4 linked regions of the Saccharomyces cerevisiae S288C genome follow. The protein of the gene in region 1 interacts with the protein of each later gene in a biochemical or structural test. Each region holds a gene or a part of one and is shown on either strand. Other genes may lie near its edges.

What was found.
Region 2: the proteins of MCM10 (region 1) and MCM4 form a complex in vitro, tested with the Saccharomyces cerevisiae proteins (3 studies listed by BioGRID).
Region 3: the proteins of MCM10 (region 1) and MCM5 form a complex in vitro, tested with the Saccharomyces cerevisiae proteins (3 studies listed by BioGRID).
Region 4: the proteins of MCM10 (region 1) and MCM6 form a complex in vitro, tested with the Saccharomyces cerevisiae proteins (4 studies listed by BioGRID).

What each region holds. Positions count from the first base shown.
Region 1 is NC_001141.2:58,756-65,996, reverse strand, and holds MCM10 (Mcm10p), read left to right. Parts: upstream 1-3,268; coding exon 3,269-4,984; downstream 4,985-7,241. Other genes in the region: MLP2 (Mlp2p), read left to right, coding at 1-2,969; ESL1 (Esl1p), read left to right, coding at 5,303-7,241. UniProt on the Saccharomyces cerevisiae protein: Required for DNA synthesis. Required for entry into or completion of S phase. Involved in DNA replication and seems to participate in the activation of the pre-replication complex (pre-RC) and in transcription elongation.
Region 2 is NC_001148.4:595,056-603,221, forward strand, and holds MCM4 (MCM DNA helicase complex subunit MCM4), read left to right. Parts: upstream 1-1,694; coding exon 1,695-4,496; downstream 4,497-8,166. Other genes in the region: RLF2 (Rlf2p), read left to right, coding at 1-1,241; ATP20 (F1F0 ATP synthase subunit g), read left to right, coding at 4,815-5,162; AGC1 (citrin), read right to left, coding at 5,594-8,166. UniProt on the Saccharomyces cerevisiae protein: Acts as a component of the MCM2-7 complex (MCM complex) which is the putative replicative helicase essential for 'once per cell cycle' DNA replication initiation and elongation in eukaryotic cells.
Region 3 is NC_001144.5:689,710-697,552, forward strand, and holds MCM5 (MCM DNA helicase complex subunit MCM5), read left to right. Parts: upstream 1-1,845; coding exon 1,846-4,173; downstream 4,174-7,843. Other genes in the region: protein phosphatase regulator PIG1, read right to left, coding at 1-1,320; mRNA splicing protein SMD2, read left to right, coding at 4,669-4,673, 4,764-5,091; DBP9 (ATP-dependent DNA/RNA helicase), read right to left, coding at 5,337-7,121; cleavage polyadenylation factor subunit YSH1, read right to left, coding at 7,447-7,843. UniProt on the Saccharomyces cerevisiae protein: Acts as a component of the MCM2-7 complex (MCM complex) which is the putative replicative helicase essential for 'once per cell cycle' DNA replication initiation and elongation in eukaryotic cells.
Region 4 is NC_001139.9:115,867-124,231, reverse strand, and holds MCM6 (MCM DNA helicase complex subunit MCM6), read left to right. Parts: upstream 1-3,324; coding exon 3,325-6,378; downstream 6,379-8,365. Other genes in the region: YIP4 (Yip4p), read right to left, coding at 1-641; EMP24 (Emp24p), read left to right, coding at 927-1,538; ARO8 (bifunctional 2-aminoadipate transaminase/aromatic-amino-acid:2-oxoglutarate transaminase), read right to left, coding at 6,671-8,173. UniProt on the Saccharomyces cerevisiae protein: Acts as a component of the MCM2-7 complex (MCM complex) which is the putative replicative helicase essential for 'once per cell cycle' DNA replication initiation and elongation in eukaryotic cells.

The sequences.
Region 1 (7,241 bases):
TTCCATCATACATACATGTTGAGAAAGAAAGAGCCTCAACTGAACTGTCACAGTCTAGGATCAAAATCAAATCTTTGGAGTACGAGATTTCCAAACTGAAAAAGGAAACTGCCAGCTTTATACCCACGAAAGAATCTTTAACTAGAGATTTCGAACAATGCTGCAAAGAAAAAAAAGAATTGCAGATGAGACTAAAGGAGTCTGAAATCAGTCATAATGAAAATAAAATGGATTTTAGCTCGAAAGAGGGCCAATACAAAGCCAAAATCAAAGAATTGGAAAACAATTTGGAAAGATTACGTTCCGACTTACAATCAAAGATACAAGAAATAGAATCGATACGCTCATGCAAGGATTCGCAACTCAAATGGGCTCAAAATACCATCGATGATACAGAAATGAAAATGAAGTCCTTACTAACTGAATTATCAAATAAGGAAACAACGATTGAAAAACTTTCATCAGAAATAGAGAACCTGGATAAGGAACTAAGAAAAACCAAATTCCAATATAAATTCTTGGATCAAAATAGTGATGCAAGCACGTTAGAACCGACTTTGAGAAAAGAATTAGAGCAAATCCAAGTTCAATTGAAGGATGCAAACTCACAGATACAGGCTTATGAAGAAATTATATCATCGAATGAAAATGCGCTAATAGAATTGAAAAATGAACTAGCAAAAACCAAAGAAAATTACGATGCTAAGATTGAACTAGAGAAGAAGGAAAAATGGGCGAGGGAAGAAGATCTATCTCGTTTACGCGGAGAGCTCGGTGAAATAAGAGCTTTGCAACCGAAACTAAAAGAAGGTGCATTGCATTTCGTTCAACAATCAGAAAAGTTGAGGAATGAGGTAGAAAGGATCCAAAAAATGATAGAAAAAATTGAAAAAATGAGTACGATTGTCCAACTGTGCAAAAAAAAAGAAATGTCCCAATATCAGTCCACAATGAAGGAAAATAAAGATCTATCTGAATTGGTTATCCGCCTTGAAAAGGATGCGGCTGATTGCCAAGCAGAATTAACAAAAACCAAATCCTCATTGTATAGCGCTCAGGATTTACTCGATAAACATGAAAGGAAATGGATGGAGGAAAAGGCTGATTATGAAAGAGAATTGATATCTAATATTGAACAGACGGAATCCTTGCGTGTTGAAAATTCGGTATTGATTGAAAAGGTTGATGACACAGCAGCAAATAATGGCGATAAAGATCATTTGAAGCTAGTTTCTTTGTTTTCAAACTTACGTCATGAAAGAAATTCTTTAGAGACGAAGTTAACCACCTGTAAGAGAGAATTGGCATTCGTTAAACAAAAGAACGATAGTTTAGAAAAAACGATAAATGACCTGCAACGAACCCAGACTTTATCGGAGAAGGAATACCAATGCTCTGCAGTTATTATTGACGAATTCAAGGATATCACGAAAGAAGTTACTCAAGTTAACATTTTAAAAGAGAATAATGCCATCTTACAAAAGAGTCTCAAAAACGTAACCGAAAAAAACAGGGAAATTTATAAACAATTAAATGATAGGCAAGAAGAAATTTCTCGATTACAGCGTGATCTCATACAAACAAAAGAACAAGTTTCGATAAATTCTAACAAAATTTTAGTATATGAAAGTGAAATGGAGCAATGTAAACAGAGGTACCAGGACTTATCTCAACAACAAAAAGATGCCCAAAAAAAAGACATTGAAAAGCTAACTAATGAGATTAGTGATTTGAAGGGAAAACTTTCAAGCGCTGAGAACGCAAACGCTGACTTGGAAAATAAATTCAATAGGCTAAAGAAGCAGGCTCATGAAAAATTGGACGCATCTAAGAAACAACAAGCTGCTTTAACTAACGAACTCAACGAATTAAAAGCAATTAAAGACAAATTAGAACAAGATCTACACTTTGAAAACGCTAAAGTTATTGATCTAGATACGAAGCTCAAAGCACATGAACTCCAATCAGAAGACGTCTCGAGAGATCACGAAAAGGACACTTATCGGACATTAATGGAGGAAATTGAATCACTCAAAAAGGAGTTACAAATTTTCAAAACTGCGAATAGCTCATCTGATGCATTTGAGAAATTGAAAGTTAACATGGAGAAAGAAAAGGACAGAATTATTGACGAAAGAACGAAGGAATTTGAAAAAAAATTACAAGAGACCTTAAATAAGAGTACAAGCTCAGAAGCAGAATACAGTAAAGATATCGAAACATTGAAAAAGGAATGGCTAAAGGAATATGAAGATGAAACGTTAAGGAGAATTAAGGAAGCAGAAGAGAATTTAAAGAAAAGAATAAGGTTACCAAGCGAGGAAAGGATACAAAAGATCATTAGTAAGCGTAAAGAAGAATTAGAAGAAGAATTTCGAAAGAAATTGAAAGAAAACGCGGGAAGCTTAACGTTTCTTGATAACAAAGGTAGCGGGGAAGATGCCGAAGAAGAATTATGGAACAGTCCATCGAAGGGGAATTCTGAGAGGCCGTCGGCTGTCGCTGGCTTTATAAATCAAAAAAACCTTAAACCTCAAGAACAATTGAAGAATGTGAAGAATGACGTTTCCTTCAATGACAGCCAGTCAATGGTTACAAATAAAGAAAATAATATCGTGGATAGTAGCGCTGCTGGTAACAAGGCCATTCCAACCTTTAGTTTTGGTAAGCCATTCTTCTCCTCTAATACATCATCTCTTCAAAGTTTTCAGAACCCATTCACAGCATCCCAATCTAATATCAATACGAATGCCCCCCTACGTACACTCAATATTCAACCTGAAGTTGCAGTCAAAGCGGCGATTAACTTTTCCAACGTAACCGATCTAACTAACAATAGCACCGATGGAGCAAAAATAACAGAAATTGGAAGTACATCTAAACGGCCAATTGAGAGCGGTACATCTTCTGATCCAGACACCAAAAAGGTTAAAGAGAGTCCAGCAAATGATCAAGCTTCCAACGAGTGATGTAATATTAAACAATGTAATTATATAAATATGAAACATCTACATATTTTAAATGTCACTAATGTCATTACAGAGGACATAAAGTGATTTATGACACATCCGTACTAGTAGTTAAGTATGAACAAATTTTGGGTTTATTTGCCATTTTTTTTCACGCGGGTTTCTTGGATGCGCAAACCCACCTTTTCTAACACCACTAAGAAATATCAACTTTATAGGCCATCGAAGATAAAGGAACGTAAGTTTGTCAATTCAACCTCACATTTTCAACGCACATTAAGCACTTGGTTCGTGGAGAAATGAATGATCCTCGTGAAATTTTAGCGGTTGATCCGTACAATAATATTACTTCTGATGAAGAGGATGAGCAAGCCATCGCGAGAGAACTTGAATTTATGGAACGAAAGAGGCAGGCCTTAGTGGAACGATTAAAAAGAAAGCAAGAATTTAAGAAACCCCAGGATCCTAATTTTGAAGCCATCGAGGTACCTCAATCTCCTACCAAAAACCGTGTGAAAGTGGGGTCTCATAATGCTACACAACAAGGCACAAAATTCGAAGGTTCGAATATTAATGAAGTAAGGTTATCTCAATTACAGCAGCAACCAAAACCACCAGCTAGTACAACCACATACTTTATGGAGAAATTTCAAAACGCAAAGAAGAACGAAGATAAACAAATTGCCAAGTTTGAAAGCATGATGAATGCAAGAGTACATACGTTCAGTACCGATGAGAAGAAATATGTGCCGATAATCACAAACGAATTAGAAAGCTTTTCAAATCTTTGGGTTAAAAAGAGGTACATACCTGAAGATGACTTAAAACGGGCTTTGCATGAGATCAAAATCCTTCGGTTGGGCAAACTTTTTGCTAAAATTCGCCCACCTAAATTTCAAGAGCCTGAATACGCCAACTGGGCCACCGTAGGCCTCATTAGCCACAAATCGGACATCAAATTTACATCATCTGAAAAGCCAGTCAAATTCTTCATGTTCACCATAACGGACTTTCAGCATACACTAGATGTTTATATCTTCGGGAAAAAGGGTGTAGAAAGATATTATAATCTTCGCCTGGGTGATGTGATAGCAATATTAAACCCAGAAGTACTACCATGGAGACCCTCAGGGCGAGGAAATTTTATCAAATCCTTCAACCTTCGAATTAGTCATGACTTCAAATGTATCCTGGAGATAGGTTCAAGTAGAGATTTAGGTTGGTGTCCCATAGTGAATAAAAAGACTCACAAAAAATGTGGCTCTCCCATTAACATATCTCTTCATAAGTGTTGCGATTACCATAGAGAAGTGCAATTTCGTGGAACAAGTGCTAAAAGAATTGAATTAAATGGTGGGTACGCCTTGGGCGCGCCTACGAAAGTGGACTCTCAACCAAGCCTATATAAGGCCAAAGGGGAAAACGGGTTTAATATAATCAAAGGTACTCGTAAGCGCCTGTCAGAAGAGGAGGAAAGACTTAAAAAGAGCTCTCACAATTTTACGAATAGTAATTCTGCCAAAGCATTTTTCGACGAGAAATTTCAGAATCCAGATATGCTGGCAAACTTAGACAATAAAAGAAGGAAAATAATAGAAACTAAGAAATCGACAGCACTGAGCCGCGAACTAGGCAAAATTATGAGAAGGAGGGAATCCAGCGGATTAGAAGATAAGAGCGTCGGAGAGCGACAGAAAATGAAACGAACCACAGAAAGTGCCCTCCAGACAGGGCTTATCCAACGCCTAGGATTCGATCCCACTCATGGAAAAATTTCCCAAGTACTCAAGTCTTCTGTATCAGGGAGCGAACCTAAGAACAACTTACTCGGTAAAAAAAAAACTGTTATAAACGATCTCTTGCATTACAAGAAGGAAAAAGTCATTCTCGCACCTTCAAAGAACGAATGGTTCAAGAAAAGAAGCCATCGCGAAGAAGTTTGGCAAAAACATTTCGGATCCAAGGAAACTAAAGAAACTTCTGACGGTAGTGCCAGCGATCTTGAGATAATATAAATAAGTATTGGTGTGCTTTTCAGGGCCCCAAAATGGTATTACTTTTGATGGACAATGGCGCGGGTAATGATTGAAAAATTATGATGAAAAATTGAGTGATTTTGGTTGCAATATAGGGAATCAATCCTTAAAGTGAGAAAGAACAGAAGAGAACATCTTGTGAGACACAAAACGCTCCGAAAACATCTCCCTCTTGGGCGCATCCTTCATTCTGTACTCTTTACTTCACTTTACAGTCGTTTTTGGCCGATCTTTGGCAGCATCTAACGTTATTTTTAGGTTCAATACATAACAACAAGACCACGGATATCGCATAATATGGTTGACCTAATGGTGCCGGCGAATGATGACCCTAGTAATGAAACTGATTATTCTAGATCCAACAACAACCACACTCATATTGTGAGCGATATGCGCCCGACCTCCGCCGCATTTCTTCATCAAAAGCGACATAGTTCTTCGTCGCACAATGATACACCAGAGTCGTCGTTCGCTAAAAGAAGGGTGCCTGGAATTGTAGATCCCGTAGGGAAAGGATTTATAGATGGAATAACTAATAGCCAGATCTCTGCACAAAACACACCCTCCAAAACTGATGATGCATCTAGAAGACCGAGCATCTCTCGCAAAGTTATGGAATCGACACCACAAGTTAAGACCAGTTCTATTCCAACAATGGATGTTCCTAAATCTCCATATTATGTGAATAGAACTATGCTTGCTCGAAATATGAAGGTTGTTTCTAGAGACACTTATGAAGATAACGCAAATCCACAAATGAGAGCTGACGAGCCATTAGTCGCTTCAAATGGTATTTATAGCAATTCGCAACCCCAAAGCCAAGTAACTTTATCCGATATTAGAAGAGCTCCTGTAGTTGCTGCTTCACCCCCGCCGATGATAAGGCAACTTCCTTCGGCGCAGCCAAATCAGACGTTTATTAAAAAACTGCAGGAAATTTATAAAATCATAGTGGTGCAGGAAACCGAGTTACAACAAAGATGCCTTTATTTAACCACCTCTCAAACCACAGAACTAAAAAGTTTGTGGGCAATATACAGACTGAACACAGAACTGATCAAAAATTACATCAATTTCATCATCACTGCATTATTAACTACACAACCTATAAACGACTTGATTATGGGCCAAGAAATTTTGGATATTTACAGAATAGAAAAAAGATTGTGGGTTTATGGTATAATAACCTTCTTGGATGTACTAAAGAACTTTTCGAACTTTATGGACCCAGAGGTATGTTGTCAGTTTATTATATACGCTTTCATCTCTGTCTCAAATATGCTTGAGGATATACCGTTGAAATATTCTATTTTGTGGAGACAAAGATTGGGTGATTTGTCTAGAATGGCAATATCGCTGTACCCATCAGGATTCATAGATTGGAGGCTAAGCGCCGAATATTGGTATACCGAATCAATGAAATACATATATGGGTGCGGAAAACTATATTATCATATTGCCACAGTTCAACAGAACAGTTTAGAAGCGTTCGTAAACTTGGGAAAAAGTGTTTTTTGTCAGGATCCCTTCACTCCGTCTCAGCAAACGTTACAGTTATTGATTGAAAATATCTATCAATCTGCATTCATAGATAGAAGTTCTGGTAGTGCGAACAATAATGAAATTGCCCATAGAAATTCTCAATTAATTGATTATTTAAAGCATACTGAAGTAATGCTATTACCTAGTTTCCTGGAGAATATGGATTTACAGCATGTTGTGCTTATGTACTTCAAAGACAAGTTTGGTAAAGATTTTAACGGAAATGACGTTTTCGATACAAAAGACATGTTTTGCCAAAATCCAGAATCATTGCGTTATTATTTTAGGCATGCCCCTGCATTTGCTGAATCTCAGCTTTTACAGCTAATCGGATTTGGCAATCCTAAAAACCCATTTGCATTATTGTTTCAGTTGCCTAAGTATTTGAAATTAAAGAAGGATAAAAGAGAAAAAAAGAGATCCGAAGCAACAGAAACATCTTCCTATACAGATCCATTCGATGTTCAAATAAGTTCAGAAAGCTACTTCCAGAATATCGATGCTTTAAATTCAAGTTTCAATGATATCCCAACCAATCTCAATATTTGGCTGGATTCTTTGAATCATATCAACATGACGTCAATACAATGCAGTATACATGTATTAACAAAATTTCTTCATGCACCATTAGTGGTTGCCTTACCGCACTTTTTGACGTGGTTACATTTTATAGTTGCTATTTTGAAAAAATTAG
Region 2 (8,166 bases), on another chromosome or scaffold:
AGGAAGAAGCCAGATTAGAAGCCAAAAGAAGAAAAGAGGAGGAAAGATTGAAAAAGGAGGAGGAAATACGTTTGAAAGAAGAAGCCAAGGAAAGAGCACAATCCCGTATTGGTAACTTCTTTAAAAAACTAAGCGATTCTAATACGCCTGTGGTTGAAAAGTCGGATTATGAAAAATTTTTTCTACCTTTCTATGCTAAAGATGGAGTTAGAGTCAGTAATAAGTGGAAACTAACAAAAGTGGAGCTGGAAGGTAGCAAAAGAAAAATAGATGATGAATTACTGAACAGTAAAGATAAAACAAGTAGTGACGACTTATTGAATTGGTTACAGTCTAGAAGATTACCTAGAGGACATAAAATTAAACGTAAAGCTGTTGACGTTCTACAGCAAATGCCTTTGAAGGAGAAAACAGACGATGAGCTCCAATCTTTACTTGCACAAGTTCCGCACAAATATATAAAATTCTACGAAAATGTTAGACCTCCGTTTATCGGAACCTATTCTATGGACTTTACTTTGCCACCAAACGATCCCTTTTCTACGAAAGGTACTGGATTCAATTATGATTACGATTCTGACGTTGAATGGGTTAATGAAGAAGAAGAAGGCGAAGTCGATAACTTAGAAAGTGGTGAAGAGGAGGAGGAGGAGGAAGATGATGAAGACGTACCTAGCGAAGGAGAGTTTGACGGGTTTCTAGACAGCGAAGAAAACAGTGATTTGGATGGCCTACCCTGCGCCAAGAGAAAATTTGTAGGCCCATTGATACCAACAATATGCCTAAAATCCAATTTTGAAAACTTATCAGAGGAAAATAAACGATACTTACAACAACTCAAGGCCGAAGTTATCATAGAAACCGACGGGCCAATCGATCCATTCAAAGAACCCAAAACATCGTCTCTACCATCCAAAAGAAGTAATTCCGACTTACAGGCACAGACCGCTAGCCAATCTCAAAGTCCCGAAAAGAAACAAAAAGCAATGATTACAGACCCCATGGACTTACTTCGACTTTTTGATGGGGTTCAAGACAGCACGTTTTCTTTGGGTACTGTGACTGAAATAGCACAGAAAAATTTGCCGCAATACAACAAACAAACAATTAAAAACACCATAAAGGAATATGCCATAAGAAGTTCTGGAAAGGGTGATTTGCCCCGCAAATGGGTAATCAAAGACGCACAAAACTGGGAGAATCTTCGAGCCAATGCAAATATGCCAACCCCGTCTTTGTAACTTGAACGGATCTTTAGTATATAGAAACATACAGATAAACTGATTATTTATTGGTATACATGAAAAAGGCGACAACACTACGATCGACAGTCAAGCCTTTTGGACTTTGAATAAAATCCAGCACTTCTCGCATGCAACAAAAGAAAATCTTCTATATAAGCTGAACTACATTTATCTGTGTCAGCCAACTGCATGTTTTATATCACTTCTTTTTGGAATATTACGAGTAGATTCATGAAAACGCAAACACTTGGTTTACTCTTTCGGGAAATTTAATGCTAGTTCGCCGCCTCGAAAATGAAAAGAGAAGAAGAGACCAGAAGAGCAACTTCGCATTGGCACTGTTTATTTCTTTAAGAACATCTTCAATACTAAATAAGACAACCCATCTTCAGTTATTTTTACTCTTGGTAGAGCCCAACTTAGGATCCTTTTGAACCTCAAGAACTTAAAATGTCTCAACAGTCTAGCTCTCCAACAAAAGAGGATAATAACTCCAGCTCCCCCGTTGTGCCTAATCCTGATTCTGTTCCACCACAGCTTTCTTCCCCAGCTCTATTTTATAGCTCCTCTTCATCACAAGGTGATATCTATGGTCGCAACAATAGCCAGAACTTAAGTCAGGGAGAGGGAAACATCAGAGCTGCTATAGGTTCTTCTCCACTAAATTTTCCATCTTCTTCCCAAAGACAAAATTCCGATGTTTTCCAATCTCAAGGCAGACAGGGCAGAATTCGTTCTTCTGCGAGCGCTTCTGGAAGGTCTAGATATCATTCTGATCTGAGAAGTGATAGAGCACTGCCTACTTCTTCCTCTTCTTTAGGCCGTAATGGTCAAAACCGTGTACACATGCGAAGAAATGATATTCATACATCTGATTTATCCTCTCCAAGAAGAATTGTGGATTTTGATACTAGATCCGGCGTGAATACTTTGGATACTTCTTCTTCTTCTGCTCCTCCATCGGAAGCCAGTGAACCCTTGAGAATAATTTGGGGTACCAACGTCAGTATCCAGGAATGTACAACTAATTTTCGTAATTTTTTGATGTCTTTCAAGTATAAATTCCGTAAAATATTGGATGAAAGGGAGGAATTCATTAACAATACTACCGACGAAGAACTATACTATATCAAGCAGCTTAATGAAATGAGAGAACTTGGTACCTCTAATTTAAACTTGGATGCTAGAAACTTACTTGCTTACAAGCAAACAGAAGACTTATACCATCAACTATTAAATTATCCTCAAGAAGTGATTTCTATCATGGATCAAACTATCAAGGACTGTATGGTTTCCTTAATAGTAGACAACAATTTGGATTACGATTTAGATGAAATAGAGACCAAGTTTTATAAAGTAAGGCCTTACAATGTAGGTTCTTGTAAAGGTATGCGCGAATTGAATCCAAATGATATTGATAAATTGATAAACTTAAAGGGTCTTGTCCTGAGATCAACTCCGGTTATCCCTGATATGAAGGTAGCGTTTTTCAAATGCAACGTCTGCGATCATACAATGGCAGTGGAAATTGATAGAGGAGTTATACAAGAGCCCGCTAGGTGTGAACGTATTGATTGTAATGAACCCAATTCCATGTCACTGATTCACAACAGGTGTTCATTCGCAGATAAACAAGTCATTAAGTTACAGGAAACTCCAGACTTTGTGCCTGATGGACAAACGCCTCACTCTATCTCATTATGTGTTTACGATGAATTAGTGGATTCTTGCAGGGCGGGCGATCGTATTGAGGTGACTGGCACGTTCAGGTCCATCCCCATTAGAGCTAATTCCAGGCAACGCGTACTAAAGTCGTTGTATAAAACATACGTCGATGTGGTCCACGTTAAAAAAGTTTCAGATAAGAGGTTAGACGTCGATACTTCTACTATTGAACAAGAATTAATGCAGAACAAGGTAGATCATAACGAGGTCGAAGAAGTAAGACAAATTACTGATCAGGATTTAGCAAAAATTCGCGAGGTTGCGGCAAGAGAAGATTTATACAGTTTATTAGCCCGCTCTATTGCCCCAAGTATTTACGAGCTAGAAGATGTCAAGAAGGGTATATTACTTCAGCTATTTGGCGGCACGAATAAAACCTTTACCAAGGGTGGCCGTTATAGAGGTGACATAAATATTTTACTTTGTGGGGATCCTTCTACTTCCAAATCGCAAATTTTGCAATACGTTCACAAAATTACTCCTCGTGGTGTGTATACTTCGGGTAAAGGTTCATCTGCCGTTGGTTTAACTGCTTATATTACAAGGGATGTCGACACAAAACAACTTGTTTTGGAAAGTGGTGCATTAGTATTGTCTGATGGAGGTGTTTGTTGTATTGACGAGTTTGATAAAATGAGTGATTCTACAAGGTCCGTCTTGCACGAAGTCATGGAACAGCAGACTATTTCAATCGCAAAAGCGGGAATTATCACAACACTTAATGCCAGAAGTTCTATTTTGGCCAGTGCTAACCCAATTGGTTCACGCTACAACCCCAATTTGCCTGTGACTGAAAATATTGATCTACCGCCCCCACTACTTTCGAGATTCGATCTGGTCTATCTTGTCCTTGATAAGGTTGATGAGAAAAATGACAGAGAACTAGCCAAACACTTAACAAATCTTTACCTGGAAGATAAGCCCGAACATATTTCTCAAGACGACGTGCTACCAGTTGAATTTTTAACGATGTATATTAGTTATGCAAAGGAGCACATACACCCAATAATCACCGAGGCCGCTAAGACTGAGCTTGTTCGTGCTTATGTAGGAATGAGAAAGATGGGTGACGATTCGAGATCCGATGAGAAGAGAATCACAGCTACCACAAGACAACTTGAAAGTATGATTCGTTTGGCTGAGGCGCACGCCAAAATGAAATTGAAAAACGTCGTAGAGCTGGAGGATGTTCAAGAAGCCGTTAGATTAATTAGATCAGCCATAAAAGATTATGCAACAGACCCTAAAACCGGTAAAATCGACATGAATTTAGTTCAAACAGGTAAATCAGTTATTCAGAGAAAACTACAGGAGGATTTGTCAAGGGAAATTATGAATGTTTTGAAGGATCAGGCATCAGACTCAATGTCATTCAATGAGCTTATAAAACAAATCAATGAACACTCTCAAGATAGAGTTGAGTCTTCTGATATCCAGGAAGCCTTGTCAAGATTGCAACAAGAGGACAAGGTCATTGTCCTTGGCGAGGGTGTAAGGAGATCAGTTCGCCTGAATAACCGTGTCTGATGCTGTCTACTACAATCATTCCCTGCGTAACAATTAATAAATACTAATTAATTATAGCAAGTTTGTATTTTTTACATCCTTATGCTTTGTAACACTATTCAATACTGTATGTAGGCTCGATTGAGTGGGCGGCTTTTTTCTTATTCCTGATTGGCTGAAAGAAAATATTGTTAAACGCACTAAATTTATCCCGAAGGATGATTACATTTAAAGACCGAAAAATGAAGATGCAAAGATCCCTCATATTTTCTACTCCAGTCCAAATCGACAAGATAAACCTGCCGATAAATCATATTTCAGAACGCTAATCAATTCATCATGCTAAGCAGGATCCAAAATTATACCAGTGGGTTGGTTTCTAAAGCAAATCTTTTGTCATCAAAGGCTTTATACTATGGTAAAGTCGGTGCCGAGATTTCAAAACAGATTTATTTAAAAGAGGGTCTTCAACCACCAACTGTTGCCCAGTTCAAATCAGTGTATTCGAACCTTTATAAGCAGAGCCTAAACTTTGCTCTAAAGCCTACAGAAGTTTTATCGTGTTTAAAAAACATCCAAAAGAATGAACTATTAAAATATGGCGCATATGGTATTCAGTTGATAGGGTTTTATTCTGTCGGTGAAATAATTGGAAGAAGAAAATTAGTGGGATATAAACATCACTAAGCTTTTTAATTCTATCTATTCGCAAAACCCTTGTATATTCGTTAATTAAATTAAATCAATGTACAAATAGAACAAAACTAGAAAAAAGAATATATATTCATCTCAATTCTATTTATTTTCTTTTCATGACATACAATGGCATTAAAAGCGATATCGAGTTATATTACATTAGCTTCTTGCCGCCAGTTATTTATGAAATAGGCCAATATAACTTTTCTGTAAAAAAGAAAACTTGACCTCAGAGCTTTCATTACACTTATTAAGAACAACATACTTGTTGCACTATAGTAAAAACTACAGTGAAATTGATCTCAGGATCATTAGTAATTTTTCTCACTATAAGAAAAAAAAAAAAACATATATTTTGCTATGAATTATAATAAGTAAATATATACATATATATGTACAGAGAAACTGACGAAGAAAATAAATCACCCGTTAATGCTTCTTAGGTGCTCTTGAAAGTTTTTATAAACTGAAGAGTCAAACCTAGAAAAGTTATTGTCCAAATCAATGAATGTTTTCGCAATTTGACAGCTTTTATAGTAATAATTGGCATGTTTTCTATCATCAGAGTAAAACTTTTGCTGTGGGAGTTCACCGTTACTATGAACTACTGTCTCTTCATTGCCTGCGTCGTCATCGATACAAAATCTCTTCCTACCCTCTCTGCTTTTTAATTTGTTATCGGGGGAGGGAATAAAGCCCTTGAATAATTCATAGGCGGCCAGAGTGAACCCAAATTGGGGAGAACTTCTTAGGACACGGGCTCCACCACCTTTGAAAAAGCTTCTAAAGCTCTCTTCCTTTAAGATAGTTCGGATAGCATGAAATATACCGTTATACTTTGTCTCACCTTTTCGAGGATCTATCTGGAGCCTTGTTTTTATAACATCAAAAGGAGTAGTCAAGAAGGCAGCTGGCATACCAGCAATGGCACCGGCAGTTAAAAGCTCCCATGTTTTTAATCGATTCCTCTTTGTTTTATCATTTGGATCAAAATCAAAGAGATCTTTTTTTAAATGTGCATAAGTGGGAAAATAAATAGCAGAGAATGGAACATCTCTCATTAAACATGCGGCTACACCATTGTACAAGCCCCTCAGTCCTAATTTTTTGACTATTTGAGTGGCAGTTTCATTGGCTTGTTGTATGTTTTCACCAACATAGTCGGATTGGACCTGTAGCCTAATTTTTACAATCTCTAACGGATTAGTAAATATAACTTGACATGCACCAGCTGAAGCGCCAGAAATAATTTCAGGAAAAAGGCTTAGCTTGCCGTTTTTATCAGTCAACCTGTTTCTCATAAAATCATTGACAGTCAATTTTATCGCCTTTTCAGGAGCAACTCCTATTAATTGTGGCCCTAAGCCAGAGTAGAGACCTTTTATTCCTTCGCGGGATATAATCTTCAACAAACAATCAATTGAGTTTTTGTATTGGGCTAAAGATCTTTGGGCTTGCATCCTTGTTTTTATAAAGTCTATTGGGTATACTACAGTTGCACCAATACAACCCGCAATAGAACCCAAGGAGAAATTGTACAACGAATCGAAAATTGGATAAAAGTAGTAATTAATATACAATGACTCATTTTGATTTTTTTGCAATTCCATTTGGTGAACTAAGTCGTTCAGGTAATTTGGGTTCAAAATTTTCATGAAATCTTCAATTGTTAAGTCAGAACGCATCGTTGCTTTATCTTTTTTACCTCCAAATACAGATTCAAACAAGCCAGTACTCGCTTTTGAAGCTTTTTTAACACCAGAGTCTTGGTCAAATCCATCCGAGAGATCATGATAATAGTCATTAAAACTTTCTAAATTTTTTCTGGATCTGCTTACTCCATGCAAATACTCATTATGGATAAAAAAATCAATATCTGAATCATAATGGTGATCATTTAATAGCTCGTCATCTCGATCTTGATTTCTCTTTCTTAATCTTCTGTTTTCCTTTGAATTTGCGACGATAGAAAATAGTAGGTTGATTTGGGAAGGAGAGAACTCAATGATATTGTTTACTTTGTTATACTGGGCGTTTAAAACTGTCATAAAGTCATTTTTAGTAACTATTTGTTCCCTAATATCCTGCTCATTCAAATTATTTTCAGTAACATACTTGTGAAATATTTGGTTCAGTAGGTCAAAATTTTGAAATAAATAAAATATATCCTTGAATACATTGTACGGAATGGAATTATTGTCCGCTTTTAGTAATTCGGTGTTTGATAGATTCAAGGAGGAAAATATATCTGCAGACACCCTGTGAGAGTAAAATAACCTTAGAAGATAGGTGAGTTGATTTTTGCTTAGGGCTAAACGATGCCCTTGTGAGTCCATCTGTGCCAACCTATCAAAACCTATAAATATTTTTTCATTCTTAAGATCATTTTGTAAAATCGTGACCAGAGAGTTTAAACTCAAATACTCTTCATTTTCATGATAACATTTGTAAAATTTCAGAAATCGAAAGTCATTCCAATCAAGTAGTAATTTGTTATCTTTAACAAAATTATCATCAATAGATTCGTGCAACAGGCGGATAGTATCTTTGAATTGGTTCAGATTCAAAAGAAGATCATCAAAGCTTAGAAATCTGTTACCATAATTAATTGACTTAATTCGATCATCTGCAGCCTTTAAATTAAACGACGAACTACCAAGCTCTTTTTTTTGTTTTGCCTTCAAATTCTCTACATCAAATTTCCTAAAGAACTCATATAGAATAATGAGATGATAATTATCATATTCTAATAAATTATTAAAATAAAACCAATCATTAAGCGTCAGATATCCCTTGTTTTGTTCATCAATAGCGAAGAAAATACACCCGAAAACGTTCTTGGGTATCTGGTTCAAATTGAACGAATGGTCCGTAAACTTCGAATAAATAGTCTTTGAGCTAGATATCAGTTCAATGAAATCGTCGTATGTTAAAATTAGTTCTCCTGTAAGCTTCTCCGTGTCAGGTTTCCCATTTCCTGCTGTGAGTTTACTGG
Region 3 (7,843 bases), on another chromosome or scaffold:
ATTAGTTTGGGAATCAGGCGGTTCAAAGAAATAATTAAATGGTTCAATTTCACAATCAATTGTTTCAGCTTTGAAAGTTTGGGATACAGGTTCGGTTTTACAAGCCGCTTTTGTTTCAAACGATTGATAAAATTTGTGCTTTAACGGGGAGTCGTTGTAGTAATCTGTATCTTTAATGAATTTTCTGAGAGGCTTTTTAGAATTTTCATTATTTTTCGACATAGTAACCTCTGCATTGCTAGCCCCCATTTTGGAAGGCCCAAGATTGGAATTAAATATCGATGAATTCGAAACCGCACGATTTAGATTTATTGCTGACAAAGAGATCGTTATTTCATAGTTTTTATAGTCATTATTATCGTAAAATGATCTATATTCGAAACCATTTACATCATAACGACAACAGAACTGCAAATTCAGGAGACAAGTAGTTTTCCTTTCAAAAAAGTTAGTGTAAATCAAGTTTTTTGATATTAGATTTAACTTCAACGCAGATATATCAATAATAAATTTGAATTCGTCAACATGAGGGGTGACAGACTTGTTGTAGTGTGCATTAATATAGTGAATATCTGCCCAGTTATTTAAAGTAAATTTTATCTCTATTTTTTTCTCGAAGTTCAAATTATTGACAAATATAAGGCCCCAGATTTGACAGTTACCAAAATTATTGCTACAAATATCCTCGTAGCTTACAGGATCAGATAGTTCTAATGAATGAACCTTTATATTTTGTCCATTTAAGTATTTGAAAATCTTGTCTTCCAACCCAGTAACGTCCACTTTATAGTCACTTTTGAATGGATTCAAATTATTACTGACCAGTTTCCAATCTGCCATATCGAATGTCTCCTCTTCACCAAAGCAGAGAATCTCCTTTTCAATGAACATGCTACGATCATGCATAAGCATTGCATTATCCTCTACGTCACTCTCGTTGTCATACTCAACATCCTTATTGTCATATTCTAAATCACTGTAATCTAAAATGTCTAAACTATAACGATGATCTTCACCTCCAATGAAGGGGAACGTTAGTGGAATGGCATTGTTATGCAAATTTCTTGTAAGATTTGAAGCGGCTTTTTCTGATATCGAGATAGGCGCCAATTTTGTGTTGAACTTTTTGACTGTGTATAAATGTGCAGCAAACCTTACCGATTTCCCTGATGATGAAGATGATGTCGACGAAGATGCAGATGTAGAGTCTTCTAGTGGTGAAAATGAATTAGAGGTTGTTGAGGAAACAAAAGAAGAAGTGGAGATTGTTTTTGCGAGTTTCAAAGACGGTTTAAGCTTCTTACCATGGCTGTAAGGCATTTGTAAAAACAAAGAGTAAAATTATTGACCTTATAACAAGCGTCAAAGAAACGAGCATAGAAGTATTATACGGCCTTTATTTGTCAGATTATACTCCAGACTTAGTAAAAAATTCAATTAAATTCCAAACTGCTTACCCCAGATTTAGTGAATAAGAGCCCTTTATTCTACCCGCTTATCTCTGGATGTAAAACAAATAAACGCGTAATAGAGCAGTCAAACTAACAGCAGTAAACTGTCAATATCAAAAACGTAACAATTGATTCAAATCAGTTTATTCTAAGCCGCCTATGCCAGCCTTTAATTTTCTTCTCCTCCTCTTCACTCCCAGGTTAAGCCATTTAGTTTGTTGCTATGCGGTGTGTGGCGTGTTTCCCTTTTAGGAAAAGTGATTACTTGCAGTTTCGCGAAATCTCGAAGAATTTTTTCAACTTATTGAAAGAACATGAATATACTTGTTAACGTGATTAAACGTTTTATCAGAACAACCTAAGAGTATCTCCTTGGTGAATTAGAAGCCAGATAATGTCATTTGATAGACCGGAAATATACAGTGCTCCTGTTTTACAAGGAGAATCTCCTAACGACGATGATAATACTGAAATCATAAAGTCCTTTAAGAATTTCATTTTGGAGTTCAGACTTGACTCGCAATTTATTTACAGAGATCAGTTAAGGAACAACATCCTTGTGAAGAATTATTCTTTAACGGTTAACATGGAGCATTTGATCGGATATAACGAAGACATATATAAGAAACTATCAGACGAACCTTCAGATATCATTCCATTATTCGAAACCGCGATCACACAAGTGGCTAAAAGGATAAGTATTCTAAGCAGAGCTCAATCTGCTAATAACAATGACAAAGATCCAGAAAATACTAGTATGGATACTGATTCTCTCTTATTGAACTCTTTACCAACATTTCAATTAATTTTAAACTCCAATGCAAATCAGATTCCATTGAGAGATTTGGATTCTGAACACGTCTCCAAGATTGTCCGTTTATCAGGTATTATAATATCCACGTCAGTTTTATCTTCCCGTGCCACGTACCTTTCTATAATGTGCAGAAATTGCAGACACACAACATCAATAACAATCAACAATTTCAATTCTATCACAGGCAATACCGTCAGTTTACCACGTTCTTGCTTATCTACGATTGAGAGTGAATCTTCTATGGCAAACGAGTCGAATATTGGTGATGAATCGACCAAGAAAAATTGTGGACCTGATCCATATATTATTATCCATGAGTCTTCAAAGTTTATTGATCAACAGTTTTTAAAATTACAGGAAATCCCAGAACTGGTTCCAGTAGGTGAGATGCCTAGAAACTTAACAATGACTTGTGACCGATACCTAACAAACAAAGTTATTCCTGGTACGAGAGTCACTATAGTAGGTATTTATTCCATCTATAATTCTAAAAATGGTGCCGGATCCGGAAGGAGCGGGGGTGGAAATGGAGGAAGTGGTGTTGCTATTAGAACACCTTATATCAAAATATTAGGTATTCAGTCCGATGTAGAAACCTCCTCTATTTGGAATTCAGTAACTATGTTTACTGAGGAGGAAGAAGAGGAATTTCTACAGCTAAGTAGAAACCCGAAGCTTTATGAAATTTTGACCAACTCTATTGCCCCCTCTATTTTTGGTAATGAAGATATAAAAAAAGCCATTGTATGTTTATTGATGGGTGGTTCCAAGAAGATATTACCCGATGGTATGAGGTTAAGAGGTGATATCAATGTACTATTATTAGGTGATCCAGGTACCGCCAAATCTCAACTATTGAAATTTGTGGAGAAAGTGTCACCTATTGCGGTATATACATCTGGTAAGGGATCTTCTGCAGCTGGGTTAACTGCCAGTGTACAAAGAGATCCGATGACAAGAGAATTTTATTTGGAAGGTGGTGCTATGGTGCTTGCCGATGGTGGTGTTGTATGCATCGATGAATTCGATAAAATGAGAGATGAAGATAGAGTGGCCATTCATGAAGCTATGGAGCAGCAAACAATCTCCATCGCAAAAGCTGGTATCACTACAGTGCTAAATTCTAGAACTAGTGTTTTAGCGGCTGCTAATCCGATATACGGCCGGTATGATGATTTGAAGTCTCCTGGTGACAACATTGATTTCCAAACTACTATTTTATCCCGTTTTGATATGATTTTTATTGTTAAGGATGACCATAATGAAGAACGTGATATTTCAATAGCTAACCACGTTATTAATATTCATACAGGAAATGCTAATGCTATGCAAAACCAACAAGAGGAAAATGGCAGTGAAATTAGTATTGAAAAGATGAAACGTTACATTACGTATTGTAGATTGAAATGTGCACCAAGACTTTCACCGCAGGCCGCTGAAAAACTGTCATCGAACTTCGTCACCATTAGGAAGCAATTATTAATCAACGAATTAGAGTCAACGGAAAGGTCGTCTATTCCAATTACCATTCGTCAATTAGAAGCTATTATTAGAATAACAGAATCATTAGCCAAGTTAGAATTAAGTCCTATTGCACAGGAGAGACATGTTGACGAAGCTATTAGATTGTTTCAAGCTTCCACAATGGACGCAGCGTCTCAGGATCCAATTGGCGGCTTAAATCAAGCAAGCGGAACATCTTTGTCAGAAATCCGTCGTTTTGAACAAGAACTAAAAAGAAGATTACCTATAGGCTGGTCTACTTCTTATCAAACTTTGAGGAGAGAATTTGTAGATACACATAGATTTTCTCAATTAGCACTGGATAAGGCCTTATATGCCCTAGAGAAGCATGAAACAATTCAATTGAGACACCAGGGACAGAATATTTACAGAAGTGGTGTATGACAACAATAAAGTCTTAGCTTGACGCCTTTTCTACTTGTTTGCATGTAATGAATCTAAAAAATTCGCTACAAATACTTCATTATTATATTTCTATATAAATTCTGTAAACGAAATTATACTTTTTGAGGTTTCATCTGCGTCTCATATTCTTTTTGTATAATAAACGCACAGACTTGATATGACCGTCAATCAAAATAATTCAAAGCTTCTTAAAAAAGAAATTGAAATCAAAGACATACGAAAGAAATTAGAAAATAGAGGTCGATTTACCACTGAACAATCCTACAGTACATGAGCTCTTGAAGTGACTTTATGGGGACCAATTTGTCCTATCGTGATATTACTACGGGTAATACTACCAAATGAAAATTATCTTACTCAAAAGGTATGACAAGAACATCATCACTAGAACATCATCATTCTTAATAGCAAGCGCCATCACGTTTGCCCCGCCTTTGACAGTTGATTAGAGGAGTATTATAAAACCGTTTTATCATGTCGTATGTTTGATCTTAACCATTTTTACATCCTATAATTTGGAGTGAATTTTTATATACTAACTTAAAAGTAATTGATTTGTATCTTTCCAGTTCACAAATAATTGATCGTCCAAAACATGAACTCTCTAGAGCAGAATTAGAGGAACTAGAAGAATTTGAATTCAAACATGGTCCAATGTCCCTGATAAATGATGCTATGGTGACAAGAACACCTGTGATAATCTCATTAAGAAACAATCATAAAATAATAGCGAGAGTGAAAGCTTTCGACAGGCATTGTAATATGGTTTTAGAAAATGTGAAGGAGCTTTGGACAGAGAAGAAGGGCAAAAATGTAATTAATCGGGAAAGATTCATAAGTAAACTATTCTTAAGAGGTGATTCAGTTATCGTTGTGTTAAAAACCCCTGTTGAGTAAAAAGTAAGACAAGCAGCCCTCAATCAACAAGGAAAGCAAATCATCGTAAGAAACTTTACAGTCAGCGGAAAGCCTTTTTTTATTTTGGAAGTAAGACCAATTATTATTGGCTGATTTTCTAGCTCTTGCGAAAGTATTATATTCAAGAAAACGAATAAAGCATCTATATTATCACATTTAACTAAAGAGCATTTTTAATAAGTAGATTTTTACATAAAATATAGAATAAATATCAATATTATTAATCATTTGAAGTTCTTCAACGGGTCTACTTTACCATTCTTTGGCTTACTGACTCTTCCCTTTTTATGTGAATGGCGCTTCTTAGCATTGTGGAAAGGAACAAACTTGACTTTGGTTCCATTTCCTCTGGCTGATTCAGGAAGCAAGTAATCTGGAACACGCTTTAAATGCTGTTGCACTCTTGCTGGATGTAATTCTTTATCGTGTCTTAAACTTTGTAGCTCTTTTGGATTCTCCTCAAAATGTCTTTTCAACTTCTCACTTGCCAATAGTTCTTGTTTCAACTCTTTGACCCTAGCTTCTCTAATGGCAACTTGAGTAACAGCACGGAAACCGTCTTCCATTCTGTAACGGAACGCCTCGACCTGCTTTTGATCGAATTTGTAAGGCTGTAATTCTAATCCAAGTTTGCTCTGTTGTTTGATGATTCGTGAAAGAATCCTTTCATCCTTCTTTGCTGTCTGTAGCATTGATGGCTTATGCTTACCAAATTCTTTCAGTGGGACTACGAATGAAATTGCAGTACCGGTCTTTCCGCCACGAGCAGTTCTACCTACTCTATGCACGTAGGACTTAGCCGTCGTAGGTAAATCGAAATTGAGGACACATGCAACATTTTTGAAATCAACACCACGAGAAACACCATATTCCTTATCTTTCTTCACTTGGACCTTCTTTTTCTTGCTTGGTTTCTTATCGTTCTCAGGCTCGCCTTCCAAGCTTTTTTCTTCTTGATTTTCTGTATTGTGCCCTTCTTCTATTTCGTCATCTTCCTCTTTTATGTACTCGGTGTCATCTGTGGCAATCAATAGTTGGTAAACGTTTTTATTGAATTGGTCAACAATATGTTGCCTCGAATTAACGGGTAGCTCGCTGTTTAAAATACAGGACTTGATACCAAATTGTTCCATAACTAGCTTGAGCCTATATCCTCTGTCAATATTATTTACAAAAATTAATGTTTTACCCTTGATTAAGTTAAGTTTAAAAATGACATAGCATAGTAAGAATTTGTCAAATTCACTGACTTTAACGTAATATTGAAGTAATTTGTTTTGGTTCTTATTTATTTCCTCGTCATTGAATTTAAGAATAGCTGGAGAACGACAAAATTTTTGTTTCAAAGCCTGTATATCGTCATTTAGGGTTGCACTCATCAAAAATGTTTGTAAATTTTTTTTCAATGGTAAGTACTCTCCAATTTTGTTTAAATCATCTTGATAACCAAATGTTAACACTAAATCCACCTCATCAACTACTAAAAATTTTAGTTCGTTCAATGAGATAGAATTAATCTTTGTTTGCAACAAATCCAATAATTTACCAGGTGTACCAACTATGATTTCTGGTTGATCCATAAGTAGAGTGCTCAAAACTGAGTCAGACATATCGGATGATATGTTCAGAGTTCTTATATCTTTTGAACAATATAAGACTAGTTTTTCTAAAACATTATATACTTGTTGAGCCAGTTCTCTTGTTGGAACAAGTATAATACCTAGTGTACCATTTTCCTCTCCGTTATCAATTGTTTTTTTATATTCTAGGATAGTTTCAATTACAGGAATGAGGTATGCCAAAGTTTTTCCGGAACCTGTAGCGGCCTTTGCTATAATATCTCTCTTCTGTTGTAAAGCCAAAGGAATAGCATGTGATTGAATTAATGTTGGGTACTGAAATCCTATATTCTTAATAGCTTGTAATAAACGAGAGTCGAGATGAAATGCTTCGAACGTTGTAGAATCGTCAATATAAGCGCCTTCCACAGACTTTTTCTCATAGCTCATTTTTTTGATCTTTCGTTGCAGTTTTGGCTTAGTCTATTTCTTTTGTGAGATAAATTGTAGATTGACTATAACTATCAGCCAAAACAAAAGGCTCTTACTCAATGAAAGAAATTAGAAGAATCGAAATGAAATGAGATGAGATGAGATGAGATGAGATGGTCTAGAAGAGTTATTCTTTATGTTCGTGAAAAAAAATTTTTAAAATTTCATCTCTAGGTTTCATTACGTAAAGAGTGATTAAGGTAAACAATAAAAGGCAGTTCTAACCAGATTTTGGTTTGGTATTACTTCTATAAAGTAGTCTACTTAGTATGCGTAACTGTTTTTAACATAGCGGTGTGACCAAATTACCACCAATATTTAAGAGGCTTTCCACCCTACCTTTCAAAGGATTTGAATTACATTCTAAAATTTTCATATTGTTGAAGTCAATCTTAGCAGTGCTTTTACCTATGGTAACCACTCCAGTTATAGTTTCCTCTTTATTACTTGCATATTCATCTTTATTGAGAAATAAAGTAAAACAGTCACCAAACTGTTCTTTAAACAACCTTGAGATTTGCTTCACCCTCTCAACTTCATCAATCTTACCTTGTGCATTAGACTGCACATTGTTATGATCATGATCATCACAAGAATGACTCGAAAGCTTGACACTGGCGGGAGCTGAATCCACATTCATAAGTATAGCAATAATGGAGTCTGCTACAGTGTCATTCATT
Region 4 (8,365 bases), on another chromosome or scaffold:
GTCTTGCTCTTGGTAACCCACGAAACGGCGGCCACAGACCACATCAGGCACAGCGCCATGACCACCAGTTTCACGAGCGACAGGACCCTCACAATCCAGCGATTTTGCTTTCCAATATGGTAGGCCAATGGAAGTAGTATCTGCGAGACTAAGGCATTCAGCACTTGTGGGAATAAGCAATACCCGGAAATGGAGATGTACGAAATCAGCGACACCCTCTGGTGTGGCTTGGTGAGTCTCAGATGCAATGCCATCACCAGCAAAATGAACCAACTAGACACAAATAGGCTCGAGAACAGCGACCGCGCATGCGATACAAATAGAGAATACAATATGATAAACGCAAGGGGCGCCCACAGGTCGCAATTGGCTGAAATGTCGTTATCAGCCGCCCCTATCCCGTCATCAGAGGGGCTAAAGAATGAGGGGAAATGCGGGTATACCACTTGTTTCAGTCTGGAATTAATCTCCACCACATCTCGCTTTAGTGTTTGCAGCACAGTCTCGTCGAGCGTCCCTCTGCTGCCTGAATTCTGCATAGTTCCGCCTATGTTGTCAGCAACACCCCCGGAAGCAGCCAAAGGTGCATCTGGTTCTATGAAGTCGGGCTCAATCGTAGTGTCTTCTCTTCCGTATGACATTTTGCCTGCCCTCTTGTGACATATCTTTCTACAAATATTGCTAAAACAGCTTCATTTGCTATTGTAAAAGGGGACGAAAAATCACTGTGAGAAAATCATCACTCCGGGTAATCCAATTTTCATGAAAAAAGACGCGAGGAAAGTCAGAAAAGTCGTGCAAAACAGCCTGAGAGATCGGGTCGCTTAAACATTTTGACACGAAACTTATAATGAAATAAAAAGCTATACTTGGTGAAACTGCAATCTTAATAGTATCCCTCCGCACAAAAATACACACGCATAAGGATGGCCTCATTTGCTACTAAGTTTGTCATTGCTTGCTTCCTGTTCTTCTCGGCGTCCGCCCATAATGTCCTTCTTCCAGCTTATGGCCGTAGATGCTTCTTCGAAGACTTGAGTAAGGGTGACGAGCTCTCCATTTCGTTCCAGTTCGGTGATAGAAACCCTCAATCCAGTAGCCAGCTGACTGGTGACTTTATCATCTACGGGCCGGAAAGACATGAAGTTTTGAAAACGGTTAGGGACACGTCGCACGGTGAAATCACATTGTCTGCTCCATACAAGGGACATTTCCAATACTGTTTCTTGAACGAGAACACCGGTATCGAGACAAAAGACGTGACTTTCAACATTCATGGGGTGGTATATGTGGATTTGGACGACCCAAACACCAATACATTGGATAGTGCTGTCAGAAAGTTGTCCAAATTAACCAGGGAAGTCAAGGACGAACAAAGTTATATTGTTATTAGAGAAAGGACGCATAGAAATACTGCAGAGTCGACCAACGATCGTGTTAAATGGTGGTCCATCTTCCAATTGGGCGTCGTTATTGCAAACTCTCTTTTCCAGATATACTACTTGAGAAGATTCTTTGAGGTCACATCTCTAGTCTAAGTAAAGCAGGAAAATGTAGTTCATATCTATTTACTTTTGCCTACATACGATTACATACACGATTGGATAACCTGAAGTCGCGAATAATTCTCGGTTTCATACTTTTTACCTTGATCCTTCCACTGTTTTTCCCTGTGCCAATTACATGTAAATAAATATATACATATATATGGTCCAGGCGCGCCATAAAACAAATACAGGTTGTAGCGAATCAAAAAATGGGAAATACATACGAAAAACTTGAAAGAAACAAGTACCACAGGACATGCTGTGGTCCGTTTTTCCCCAGAGCACTTTTATGTGGGACTCTTAGAAGGGAAATAGCTCTGTTCATATAGAACAAAAAAAGAATAGCCCTGTAGGGGGCTCGAACCCCTAACCTTATGATTAAGAGTCATACGCGCTACCGATTGCGCCAACAAGGCTAATTCGTTGGAAAACGTCCCCATTTCAGGGAAACATAGCTCACGATGTTAATAACTGATTTGTAGCCGAGCCACATTGTATCAACGCGTGATTAACACATGTTTGGAATATACTGTTGGAACAAGAATCAACTAGTGCTCATATTAGCAATATATTACTATATACGGTGTAAGAAGATGTCCACTATAGTCAGCCATATTCTTGATCTTACGAAAGGGAACTGTGATGTAAAATTTGTGACACTGTGACACCTTCTAGTGAAATATAGGGCATTACCAAAGTCACTAATGAGTAAAAATACCAATTACTGTCCGTAGTTCGTCAGATTAGAATCCACTATATTTTCTTTGATTGGGAGTTAACGCTGCATACTTGTCTTGGGTACTGCGTTAACCATAAATCACATAAGCGTCATTCATTATCGTACCTCTGGGTAAGTGTTTTTCAGGAGTTTTTATATATAATATGCTGGCCCCCAAGGCGGATGAGGACTGTATACGGTTTTGACGTTAAAGTGTTATATGAATCGCAGTCGCATACACTAGTGGACCCCTAGTTCCGCGATACGTAGTTGACCCTCAGTACAGAGATTCCCACGATTAACGGGTGTACTGCTCCTGACTAATGTAATTTTGAGTTCACCTGTTGATGTGGTGCTGATACTGGCACCAGTACTAATGTTTGGAAGAACTCCGTAGCATTAAGTGGAGAGATTAATCCGATACTGAGCTGAATAGTTGGTTTCACTCCCGCAAAAAGATATCAATACAGTTTGCTAACAACTTGGGAAACCCTGATGAGAAGAATTAGCGGTCATCCTGAGAAATAGGTGACCATTTAAATGGTCACTTGAATTCGATTTTCCAGTAAGGGAAGTGTCATTCGGAATCCAGAATATACCAGAAATAAGCAATTTTGCATGATAGTGCTGTTATCCTTTCTTGTGTTTTATACGATATCATACATCACCCCATTACGTTATTTATCTTGCATTTCAGTTTTTACTGGGTTTACCCTTTTCGCGATTTATATCATATTATCACCGCACATAATATACTAGTAACATTACTATTCGTCGACAAACAATAGCTTGTTTTGATTCCAGTTCTCATAACATTTGTGTACCTATTCTTTTGCCGTTCCTTCGCTATTTGGTATTGTCATCTAAGTTCGTCTATTAAATTTCCTTTTTAGGAAAAGCGCCTAATAGGCCTTTCTTGAAGCTTTTTTTTTTTCTTTCTTTAATCTACAATAATAACAAAATATTTCATTCTTAAGTGATTTACAGCGAGTATCTTACACTTCGCCACCGGTGGATAGGAAAAATAGACTTACCAAAGGTTAAAACTGGTTTTTTTCAATGTCATCCCCTTTTCCAGCTGACACACCAAGCAGTAATAGACCTTCCAACTCCTCTCCGCCACCATCGTCGATAGGTGCTGGCTTCGGAAGCAGTAGCGGACTCGATTCGCAAATAGGCTCTAGGTTACATTTCCCAAGTTCTTCTCAACCGCATGTCAGTAATTCACAAACAGGCCCTTTTGTTAACGATTCCACTCAGTTTAGTTCTCAAAGGTTGCAAACCGATGGTTCCGCGACTAATGATATGGAGGGAAATGAACCTGCCAGAAGCTTCAAAAGTAGAGCTTTGAATCACGTTAAGAAAGTTGATGACGTTACTGGTGAAAAAGTCCGTGAAGCGTTCGAGCAGTTTTTGGAAGACTTTTCCGTTCAATCCACTGATACTGGTGAAGTTGAAAAAGTTTATAGAGCTCAAATTGAATTTATGAAAATATATGACCTAAACACCATTTATATAGATTATCAGCATTTATCCATGAGAGAAAATGGTGCTCTAGCTATGGCTATCTCAGAACAATATTACAGATTTTTGCCTTTTTTACAAAAGGGTTTAAGAAGAGTAGTAAGAAAGTATGCACCTGAATTGTTAAACACAAGTGACTCATTGAAGAGATCCGAAGGTGACGAAGGTCAAGCGGATGAAGATGAGCAACAGGACGATGATATGAATGGGTCGAGTCTACCAAGAGATTCTGGATCATCAGCCGCACCAGGGAATGGGACATCTGCCATGGCAACGAGGTCAATAACAACTTCTACGTCACCTGAACAGACGGAACGTGTTTTTCAAATCAGTTTCTTCAATCTACCAACAGTTCACAGAATTCGTGATATAAGATCTGAAAAGATTGGTTCACTATTGAGTATATCAGGGACAGTGACAAGAACATCTGAGGTCCGTCCAGAATTATACAAGGCAAGCTTTACGTGTGATATGTGCCGTGCTATCGTAGATAACGTAGAACAGTCCTTCAAGTACACTGAACCGACATTTTGCCCGAACCCATCATGCGAAAATAGAGCCTTTTGGACATTAAATGTTACAAGATCCAGGTTTCTTGATTGGCAAAAAGTCAGAATTCAAGAAAATGCTAACGAAATACCTACAGGCTCCATGCCGCGTACGCTGGACGTCATTCTTCGAGGTGATAGTGTCGAAAGAGCCAAGCCAGGTGACCGTTGCAAATTTACGGGTGTGGAAATTGTAGTACCTGATGTTACACAATTGGGGCTACCAGGTGTGAAGCCAAGTTCAACATTAGATACTAGAGGTATTTCGAAGACTACTGAAGGTTTGAATAGTGGTGTTACTGGTTTACGCTCTCTTGGTGTTCGTGATTTGACATACAAGATTAGCTTTCTGGCATGCCATGTTATCAGTATTGGATCAAACATTGGTGCAAGTAGCCCTGATGCAAATTCTAACAACCGAGAAACTGAACTACAGATGGCTGCTAATTTACAAGCTAATAATGTATACCAAGATAATGAAAGAGATCAAGAAGTATTCTTGAACAGTTTGAGTTCAGATGAAATAAATGAGCTGAAGGAAATGGTAAAGGATGAACATATTTATGATAAATTGGTCAGATCTATTGCTCCAGCTGTGTTTGGCCATGAAGCCGTAAAGAAGGGTATCTTGCTTCAGATGCTCGGTGGTGTTCATAAGAGTACTGTAGAAGGTATTAAGTTAAGAGGAGATATCAACATCTGTGTTGTTGGTGATCCCTCTACTTCTAAGTCTCAATTTTTAAAATACGTAGTGGGATTTGCACCAAGATCAGTTTACACTTCCGGTAAGGCCTCGTCGGCTGCTGGTTTAACAGCTGCGGTTGTGAGAGATGAGGAAGGAGGTGATTATACAATTGAAGCAGGTGCTTTAATGCTTGCTGATAACGGTATTTGTTGTATCGATGAATTTGATAAAATGGATATTTCAGATCAAGTTGCCATTCATGAAGCTATGGAACAACAGACCATCTCTATTGCTAAAGCTGGTATTCACGCTACTTTAAATGCAAGAACATCAATTCTAGCGGCTGCCAACCCGGTAGGTGGAAGATACAATAGGAAACTATCACTGAGGGGTAATTTAAATATGACCGCACCGATCATGTCCAGATTTGATTTATTTTTTGTTATTCTTGATGACTGTAACGAAAAAATTGATACCGAATTGGCATCTCATATCGTTGACTTACACATGAAAAGAGACGAAGCCATTGAGCCGCCATTTAGTGCAGAACAACTACGTCGTTATATCAAATATGCACGTACTTTTAAACCAATATTAACGAAAGAAGCCCGTTCCTATTTAGTCGAGAAGTATAAGGAACTGAGAAAGGATGATGCCCAGGGATTTAGTAGATCGAGTTATAGAATCACAGTTAGGCAACTTGAAAGTATGATTAGATTATCAGAAGCTATTGCGAGGGCTAATTGTGTCGATGAAATTACTCCATCATTCATTGCAGAAGCTTACGATCTTTTAAGGCAAAGTATTATTCGTGTTGATGTGGATGATGTGGAAATGGATGAAGAATTTGATAACATAGAGAGTCAAAGTCACGCCGCTTCTGGAAACAATGATGACAATGATGATGGGACTGGGTCAGGTGTAATTACGAGTGAGCCACCAGCAGATATAGAAGAAGGACAAAGCGAAGCTACAGCTCGTCCAGGTACAAGCGAGAAGAAGAAAACAACGGTGACGTATGATAAATATGTGTCCATGATGAACATGATCGTTAGAAAGATTGCTGAAGTAGATAGGGAGGGTGCAGAAGAACTAACAGCTGTGGATATAGTTGATTGGTATTTATTACAGAAGGAAAATGATTTGGGTTCGTTAGCAGAATATTGGGAAGAGAGAAGATTAGCGTTCAAAGTCATAAAAAGGTTGGTCAAAGATAGGATTTTAATGGAGATTCATGGTACCAGACACAATTTAAGAGATCTTGAGAATGAGGAAAATGAAAATAATAAAACTGTTTATGTTATTCATCCAAACTGTGAGGTTTTGGATCAATTGGAACCACAGGATTCCAGCTAATTCAGTGCACTCTTGCGGATTTTCATATTTCGTTTCAAGTATCGTTCACGTTGTAAATTCCTATCGTGTGCATTTCTCTTTGTGGGAGAAAAATATCTTACATAACTTGGCTCTCAAATCAAGTTATAATTGTTGTATAAAGTTGTACTCTTAATGAAAAAACAAAATATTATATTTTGGCTTCCACTTGCAGTCTTTTACAAAAAGAAAAAATACTTCGAAATTTAAGCAATACAAAAATACGTACGTCCTTTTTTCACCTTATATATATTCTTCCAACGTATTTACCTCTCTATTTGGAAATACCAAATTCTTCGTATAAAGTATCACCTAATCTCTTCAGACCTTCAGTCAGTTTCTCAGGAGAGACAGCTGCATAGGTACCTCTGAAGAAAATTATGTTTGGATTACTGACTTCTTTAGATTCAGCGGGTTGAGGAGGTTCCGTCTCACCCTCACTCTTGAACCAAGAACCGGGAACCACTAAAACACCACGTTCAACCACTTTGTGGTAAAGACTCTGTTCTAGCTGGTAAGGGTCTGAGTTGTATTTTGTTTTAAACTCAGGGTGGACAGATGCGTCAATGTTCACGGTGAAAAACATACCTGCAATTGGAGGATTGATCACGAAAGCATCAGATTGTGGTAGATACTTGTAAAGGGCATCGATGGCACAGTCACGTTTCAAAGTGTATTCATGACGCAGGCCAAGCAACCAGTCCAAGTAACCCTTTTGACCCCACCTGGATAGCGTAGCGTTGACCAAAACTTGTGTAAAACCTGCTGGGGCTTGAATCGTCATTTCATGCAAACTCAAGTAAGGCTTCAAGATTTTGGATGAACCAGTAATCCAACCCAATCTTGTCCCTGGGGCCAAAACTTTTGAAAAGGAATCCATTCTAATAACACGGCCTTCTGTATCCAAGGAAAGGAAAGTGTTTGCCAAGGACTTCAAAAATTCGTCATGGTCCTGCTTTGGAGAACTTTGTGCCTTCTCTCTTTCCTTCAAGTCTTTGATGTAGGGATTCATTTGTAAGAAATAATAAGGTTCATCTTCCACAATTAGGAAGTCGTACTTTTGAGCGATCTTGTAAATTGCCTCCTTTCTATGGTCTGCAATGGAAGTACCAGTTGGATTTTGGCCCGTTGGAATAGTGTATAACAACTTTGGTTTAGGAGCACCAGGTGTCCAGTTTTCCATGACTTTAGCTAATTTTTCAGGAATGATACCATCAGCGTCAATTGGCACGGGGAAGGTAATGACACCTTGAGCCTCTGCAGAAGCCAATGAAGAGGAAAAAGAATGTGCCTCAACTAAGATGACATCACCTCGGTTACAAAAGACTCTTAAAGTAGATTCCCAGGCATTTGTGTTACCTGCAGTGGCTAAAACGTCCCAGTCCTTATACTTCAAATCGTGGATAATCTTGGTATGATCTCTAATGAAGTTTAATAGTTCAGGTTGACCAGCACTGAACCCGTATTGCAAAGCTCTTGACAAAGGAATATCGTTGGAAGGATTGGCACTTTTATCAGCGTAATCTTTGTTGACGGTGTATTTTATGCAATTCTGCTCGTCAATTGGAGCTCCAATACCCTGGGGAAAAGGAGGCTTGGGTGAATCTACAGATAGATTATCCCATGGGAAATAATCTTTTAATGGCAGGCCACCACCCAAAAAGATAATGTTAGGATCTTGGAAAAGATGGATGCAGGTTTTCAATGGGGATGGTTTACGAGCATTGGTTTCATCCGAAAACAAGTAAGAAAAGTCTTTTGATTCAGGTAAAGTCATGATAGTAACGATCGGTTGTCCTATTCAATGTCTGTATCAACTGCAGGGTTTAACTTAGTGGAATGGAAAAATAAGAAAAAGAAATAAGTTCTTAAAGATATAACCAAACCAAATATATAGTCTAGAGATGTGTATAGGAGGGTCTACAAGATAAGAAAAAAGATTGCGATACACATATCTTCAAATGAAATG